Linked DNA regions of Canis lupus familiaris. The protein of the gene in region 1 interacts with the protein of each later gene in a pairwise test. Links are inferred from orthologs where the notes say so. Each region holds a gene or a part of one and is shown on either strand. Other genes may lie near its edges. The genes, in order: MYPN and ANKRD1.

Evidence for each region.
Region 2: the proteins of MYPN (region 1) and ANKRD1 interact in a two-hybrid assay, tested with the Homo sapiens proteins (2 studies listed by BioGRID). The link is inferred for Canis lupus familiaris from reciprocal best matches to the Homo sapiens genes MYPN and ANKRD1.

The regions. Positions count from the first base shown.
Region 1 is NC_049225.1:20,158,118-20,161,943, reverse strand, and holds part of MYPN (myopalladin), read right to left. Parts: intron 1,939-3,826; coding exon 1,342-1,938; intron 984-1,341; coding exon 845-983; intron 1-844. UniProt on the Homo sapiens protein: Component of the sarcomere that tethers together nebulin (skeletal muscle) and nebulette (cardiac muscle) to alpha-actinin, at the Z lines.
Region 2 is NC_049249.1:5,750,308-5,754,023, reverse strand, and holds the end of ANKRD1 (ankyrin repeat domain-containing protein 1), read left to right. Parts: intron 1-2,200; coding exon 2,201-2,311; 3' UTR 2,312-3,065; downstream 3,066-3,716. UniProt on the Homo sapiens protein: May play an important role in endothelial cell activation. May act as a nuclear transcription factor that negatively regulates the expression of cardiac genes. Induction seems to be correlated with apoptotic cell death in hepatoma cells.

The DNA.
Region 1 (3,826 bases):
AGAAACACTAAGGAAAACAGCATATGGTCAGGAAAATCTGGAGCCTTGTTTCCAGGGATTACTTATGCTACAAATTCTACAATATTTGGCATATACTTTTGACTGAAATATTGTGTTATGTTTCAAATTAGATTTTATCAGTTTCCACCTTGGGAAATAAATCAAGAGTTTGGTTATTAAAAAGTAATACATTTTTAAAAATAATCATGTTATGAAATGTAAAAGTAAATAGCTCAAATAACAAAATAGTCTATTTTTTTTTAATTTGATGCTCACTTATGGCTTTTCTTTCTCTCCTTCAGTGTGAACACTCACTAGTGAGCAAAGAGTTGTGTGGGTTGAACCACAGGATATTGACTAATGGCTATTTTACATGATTCAACTGATGTTGAATGTAAAGATTGAAAGGAACTGGTGAATAGACCTCTAGCACCTTAGATTGTAGAAGTCAAATAAAGGACAGCGTGGAACCCTAGAGTTAATTTCAATCTAGATCTTCTCATACATTGAAATATATCAAAGATGTGATGGTGTTTGTCAATACTGAGCTGAGGGTTGCTGGAATGGCCAACAGACTATCTAATCTCTCTTTCCTTAACATATTTCATCCTACATAAAAACATATAAACAGTTACATTGAATTAACTACTGGAGTAATCAAGAACGGTAGATCCATGTAGGTGAGTTTCCTGTATGACCTTTGGTTAATCTATGCTCTATCTTCTAACACTGCAGGGTCAGCCTCACTGAGGTCTGGTGGCCCAACCATCCAAGGACTGAATTAAGTGAAATTGTATTTCTTGTATTGAAATTCCAATAAACCATTTGAGCCCAACAATCTTACCTGCTGGTTTGATCTGACATCACTGAAATTCATTTTTTTCCCCAAGTCTAGAATCACTGCATTCTTAGTTTCACGAATGTAATCATCATTCACTGGTTGGGGAGACTTTGTGTTTTTCTTCATTAGTCCCTGGGATGGCCTGTAAAATAAAGTCACAGCTGACACACCCATGAAAAGCCCTTGCCAGTACCCGAAAGCCTAGGAATCAGGGTGGCTGAAATGGCAGTCAGATACCAGGAGTCATCAGGCACTTAGGCCCCAACGTTGAGCACTGCACAGAGAATCTGTGTTTGTAGAGGGGTTTTCAGTATTTAAGTTATTGAAAATGATTTAAAGTAATCATGCCCTTTGCTCTAAAGTGTTCAAAATCCGTTTAGTGTCTATGAGGGTTATCTAGGAATCCACTCAATGAGAGTCCTGTCCCAGATGAAGCTATTCTAGGCATAGGTCCTTTCTTAAGTGACATCTTTTACTTCAGAGATCTTAATGACACTTACACAGATGGTGCACTTCTGGGCAGCCCCATGGCATTAGTGGGCGGGATGGCAGGGAGAGAAGGCAGGACCGAGCTGAGGAAAGCCACCGGGTTCTGAATCCGGCTGGTAGGAGAGACTGGAGCTGGGGAAACACAGCGAGGCTGAAACTGGTTTCCACTGGAGACAGCAAATGTGAGTGGTGGTTGTGCTGGCTCTATGGGAGCCGGAGGGGGTGGCTCGCTTTGGATGGACGCTCCTCCCAAAGATTTGGTTTGCATGGAGGGGTGAGAAAGTAAGAGGCTCTCTTTGCTCACTGTCCTCTGAATGGTTTGAGGTGTGCCGCTCAGGGTGAACACTGGAGAGCTGGAAGGGGACGCGCTTGCTGCTGCTGCGGTGGCACTTGGAGAAGGGAAGAAATGCTTGGGCCGGGCCAGGCTGAATGTCTGTGCCGGTGGGGCCTTCACCTGCTTGCCGGACGCTGTCACCGCCGGGGAAGCAGTGGAGTTCAAAACGCTCATGTGGAAAGGAAACTCCTTAGGAGATGAAGGAGACGGGTTTTGCAACTGCTGTTGTTCCAGTAAGACTTGGTTGTGAAGCTGTTGCAGCTGACTGGAATCACTGCACACGAGAGTGGGGAGAGAAAGAAGGGAAATCTGTCACCCTTGACCTCACTCATCAGAAAATGTGTAGGGGCACCTGGGTGCCACCTGGCTCAGTGGTTGAGCGTCTACCTTCCACTCAGGGCATGATCCCGGAGTCCTGGGATCGAGTCCTGCATAGGGCTCCCCATAGGGAACCTGCTTCTCCATCTGCCTCTGCCTCTGTCTCTGCCTCTGTGTCTCTCATGAATAAATAAATAAAATCTTAAAAATAAAATGTGTATACAGGCTATTTATAACTTTATGCTGACTCAGAACACACAACCAGAGTTGCCAGGAAGGAGCTCATCAATTCTTTGTGAGCTGTTTCTCCTTTCTAAATCTGTTTGTGAGGAAAAGGGGAAAAGCCCTCATAACGCACAGCTCCAAAAGGCATCGTTTACATTATATTCTTTGTGTTGTGACCCTACAACATGGCAGCCCAATTCTAGAGTGTTTATAAGTTAGGAAAAGAAATTGAAACAATGCTCCTCTGTTGGGAGTGCCTAAAGTTCTGGTAGGAGCAAACTGTATCTCAGCTTTGGGACAGAAGGCAGCGACATAAGTAACTGAGTGTGTTGTATTCTTCATTCTGCTTCAATTTATTTATTTATTTTAAAAAAGAGTTTAAAAAAGAGTTTCACCACTGAGTGGGGAGCCCGACACCAGGCTCAATCCTAGGACCCTGAGATTGAGATTTGAGATCACAATCTGAGCTGAAGGCAGATGCTTAACCAACTAAGCCACCAGGTGCCCCCATTCTGCCTCATTTTAAAGCAAACCTTAATAAAACTGCTGGATGTGTCTTGGTGTTTCTAATCCTCTCTCAACAACAAAGCATTATAGATAAGGTGATCATATGTCCCAATACATCCTCGAGTCTTGGTTTATGCCTGTTTTCCTGGCATAATTATTAATAATGCTCTTTTACTTTAAAAAATATCAGGGTTTGAATGGTAGATTATATGGCCACCCTAGTTAGAAACATTGCCTTACATGTGATGTGATGAGCGCTGGGTGTTACATGTTGGCAAATTGAATTTAAATTTCAAAAAATTTTTAAAAATTAAAAAAGAAAACAAAAGAAAAGAAAAAAGAAAAGGAAAGAAAAGAAAAGAAAAGAAACATTGCCTTAGACTTTAATTGTTCCTAAGGGGAAAGAAGAAAAGCTGGAAGTACTTTTTTCTTTCGTAGGAAGCTGAGTTGCAGAAACATTATATGATTTGCCTACAATCTATTTATCTTAATAAAATGGTTAATTATTTTTTTTAAGATTTGTTTATTTATTTGAGAGAGAAAGAGCAAGCAACCACAGTGGGGAGGGGCAGAAGGAAGAAGGAGAGGGAGAGGAGACTCCACTAAAGAGGGAGCAAGCCCGAGTGGAGGTTGAGCCAAAATCAAGTGTTGGACACTCAACCTAAGTGCCCCTGGTTAATTATTTCTTAAGAAAGAAAATGGAAAATGAAAATCTCTAAAAATCTTATACGCATAAAGTCATCAGGGCTGCTAAACTTTGCTGTTTAGAAGTATTTACCCTCAAATGAATAACAACAGGAAATTCCACAAGGAAGACTGGTGTTTCAAATCTACCACAGCTTTACATTCTTTGGATTGCTGCTGTAACATAGGTGATCTGCTGAACATGAGATCTATTAAAAATGAAAAGTTCAGTATTTTTATAGCATCAGGAAGGTCAACAACACCAGTGATAATAAAGTTGAATCAGGAGGTTCTCCAAACGTTGATTTTTCTGAATTCTTGGAGTTTAAGATCTTTTTCCTTTCTTTCAGTAACATTTCTGATACACAATATATGGAAAAGTAACTTCACAAACAGACCCTATTTGCTGTCAAATGGCTGCAATCATT
Region 2 (3,716 bases), on another chromosome or scaffold:
TACCCCTGGTTGAGCAAGGCCTGGGGTAGTCAGAAATAAAGAAAGACACCATCCCTGAAGTAATAAAATTCCACAGTGGTCAATACAGCCAAGAGCCAATGAACTGAAATTAATCAATATCTAATCCAGTAATTCTGAGTAGTCCTCCCCTCCTTACAACAGCATAACATGCTACCACTTTCTTCCAGGGCCAGCCATGCTTTTGCCTATATTTTTGAGATAATTTCTATCCATTCTCCACACTGGTTTATCTGCATATCCCTCAAAATAATTCCCTATATTTAGGCCCTGAAAATGCTCGTATAAGTCCCTTCTACAAGTACGTGTTAATTTAGCTTCATCTGCAAGCCAGGGAATAGAGCCAACTTTTCCTCATGGTCCCAATTCCCAGGCAAACATCATCTAATGTAAGCTTTAAAAATATCACTGGGAGGAATGGATATAAATTCCTGAAGAAATAATTTGAAAGATTTGGTAGAGAATCACTTTACAAGGAAGGAAAAGAAAACCCCAGTCATCTTATATTGAGAATAATTTCTTCCCCTTATTGCGTTACTATGAGACTTAGAGGAATATTTTATCATAAAAAGCCCCACAAAACTGTCTTGGTGATAGGAACAAAGAATAGAAGCAATAAATAGAGGCTGCTTGGATGGTAAAGTGTTAATAGTAGGGTCCTCTCATCCTTAATATAGGGATTGGCCTTATCTAATAATTGAAATAAATAAGCAGAAAAAGAGTAGATTTAATGAAATCTCTGAAACTGCAGAAAATATTAAAATTGTTTTCAGGCAGTGAGACACTACCAGCAAAGAGAAATAGCATACAGATTTGGGGAGACTGTATAAGTAGCCAGAAATCAGGAGATACATTTTAATAGAGAGGAGTTGAAGGAATTATGGAAGAACAGATAAAAATATACCAATGAGGCTGGGGGCTTTGAATATCAGTTAAACCCCAGCATTAGGGTCCTGAAACATTGACCTAATGGCTGGATGTTCCCCAAAAGACCACTAGCCATTGAACCTCATCTTGAAGGGAATCGGAAACAAACACACAATACATTATTCTATTGTTGTCCAAAATTCTGTCATTATGTGTAGTGATGAGTGTTTCTCGAGGAACATGCTGTAGAGGTGGGAAGTTCCAAAACAAAGGTTACAGGGCCACTAATTCAAATAAGCAATAAGTGCAGGGGTCAGGCAGGTCACCTGAATTACATAAATGGTGGCTGCAGGGATCTGTGCACATGATTATAAAGGTGGTGGCTCTGCGAAGCCACAGGTATCAGGCTGGCCAACTCTTCTGATTTTTTCCAGAGAGTTCACAAATTCACTTGGGAAATCTCCTAATTTCCAACTATTGACAATTAATTCCAACTTAAAAAAAAAAAATCTCACCTCTGTTTGGGCCCAAACAAAACAGGTCTCTAAACTGATTTGCATCTCAAAGCTGCCAGTTTGCAGTTTGAGTTAAAGAGACTTCTAAACGGATAGGGGTAGAAAAATATAAGACTTCTCATATTTAAAGACAAGAATTGAGAGGTGGCATCGGATTAATTTTTGTACATGTCTTGAGACCTATGCATAAGGGAAAAGAATTTTGGTCTCAAAAATTACTTTACACATTATTGATGTCACCTCCAAGAAACATGAAATTTCCCAGGAGATCCCAGTGTGAAAACGCCACACCTTGGAGCAGTAAGAGTTCTGTACGGCACCGGAGGACTTCAGCCAAGGTGTCAAAGCAGCTCTTTTACTATCAGTTTTTATCAATCAGGAATCATTTTCCAAATTGATAGGAACTGGTTCTTGTTCACTATCTTCCCATGCCCCTTCTGCAGGATACCGGAGATGTATAGAGGCATTTTTTGAATTTTGAAATGAGTTGGCATGCTCTTGCAATTTACCGTCTAGGGACTGGGATTTTTTTAAACCAATACCTGGAGTAGTCCCACAGAGGGGAAAAAACACACAAAAAACAAAAATATTGCTAATCTGAAATGCCAAACACATTCCTGTGAGAAAGAGTGAAGGGCTGATTTGAATATAAACTGCCAATCAGTCATAGTGGAAAGCATAAAACGGTTCAATAACATACACCTATCCATTACCTCATTAAAAACACGCCCACAGAGGATGTGTAGAATTTATAGATGCCTCCCATCTGGAAGTCAAATTTCCTCATGTATTTTGATTAGGCTGGGAAGACCCCAATGGATCTGGTGCTACACTGGCAGAATGGAACCAAAGCAATATTTGACAGCCTCAAGGAGAACTCCTACAAAACCTCTCGCATAGCCTCGTTCTGAGGGAAACAATGCCAAGCTCATCAGTTGTTCTTCACCAGCATTTTGAAGACACAACCCCAAAGAAGAGTAACTAGTCATAAAATCCAGCTCCTACCCACCTGTTGTAAAGCTGCACCTAATGAAGTTTTAAGAAAGCACAGGGATATAGGTATGGAAATTTTCCTTAGCGAAACTCACTCTATTTATTTTTATTTATTCCTGTTTATTTATTTATTTATTTGCTTCCATACCACTGGTATTCAGATCCTTCATGATGATCCATTTGGTGAGCTTAATTTGTACATAACACTCCAGAAACTTCCTGTAGATCATTCTTAAACCATGTTAACGAGCAATGCTGTCAATGCCTACTCATGTGCACCTCGCTCATGGAAGATATTTCAAGGTGTTTTTAAAGGACAAGAGTGATTATTGCAGCCCTCTTCTGAATTTTTAACGCTGAAGTTTGAGGCAACAGGGGGCATGTAGCGACAGGAAAGGAAACTGCAGAATGAAAGGCATTCTGTGAGAAGGACAGTAAAGCCAGCTGTTTGACGCCTGGGCCTGGTATCTTTTACCAAGTCACACATTGTACCAAGGTGAAGAGAATGTCATGAGTGTAAGTGGCGTGTTGTGGCAGGTGCGGGCCACTGGGCCATGCAGAAGTGAATTTGCTGGAAAATGATGAAAGTGACTGCAAAGTGTAAATGTGTAAATGTATATTATGTTGTATGTGTATTTTATATTCATAATAAAAGCAAATTATAAACCCCTTTCTAAGTGCTTCTGTAAGTATGGTGGGAAAACCATGTGAAAGACAGCCATTTGGATGGAGTTTTTTGTCTTTCAGTTTTTTCAGATTAGAAATGTCCTATAAAATAGCACCTTTCAGCATTTACTGTGTACACGGACCGCCTGAGGATCTTGCTAAAATGCAGATTCTGATTGCCCCCATTGTGGATGGGGCCTGGGACTCTGCATTTCTGACAAACTTCCAGATGATGCAGAGGTGGTGGTACATCACAACCACACTTGGAGCAGCAAGGCTGTGAAGACCATCAAGATAGGGAGTTCACCTTCTTTTGGCCACAGTGGTGGGGAGAAAGAGACCCCTGGTGGGAAGAGTGATCACTGCAAGCTAAACAAGTGCACCTTAAGGAAGTGCCCATCAGGGCTAATCTGAGGTCTAACAATTACTGTGGACACCCGCTGTCGGTGTCAAAGGATGCCCACGAGAAGATACACCTGGCCAATGATTTGTTGACCTCTGAGGGGAGCCATTTTGTTACCAGGTGCTGGACCAGGTGTTAAGACCTGTGATGAGAAAACTAGCTTGCCCCTGCCCTGCCTTTCCAGAACAGATGAATACTAAAAAAGTAATCCCAGAAATAAATACATAGTAATGATCTGCGGTAAGTACGATGAA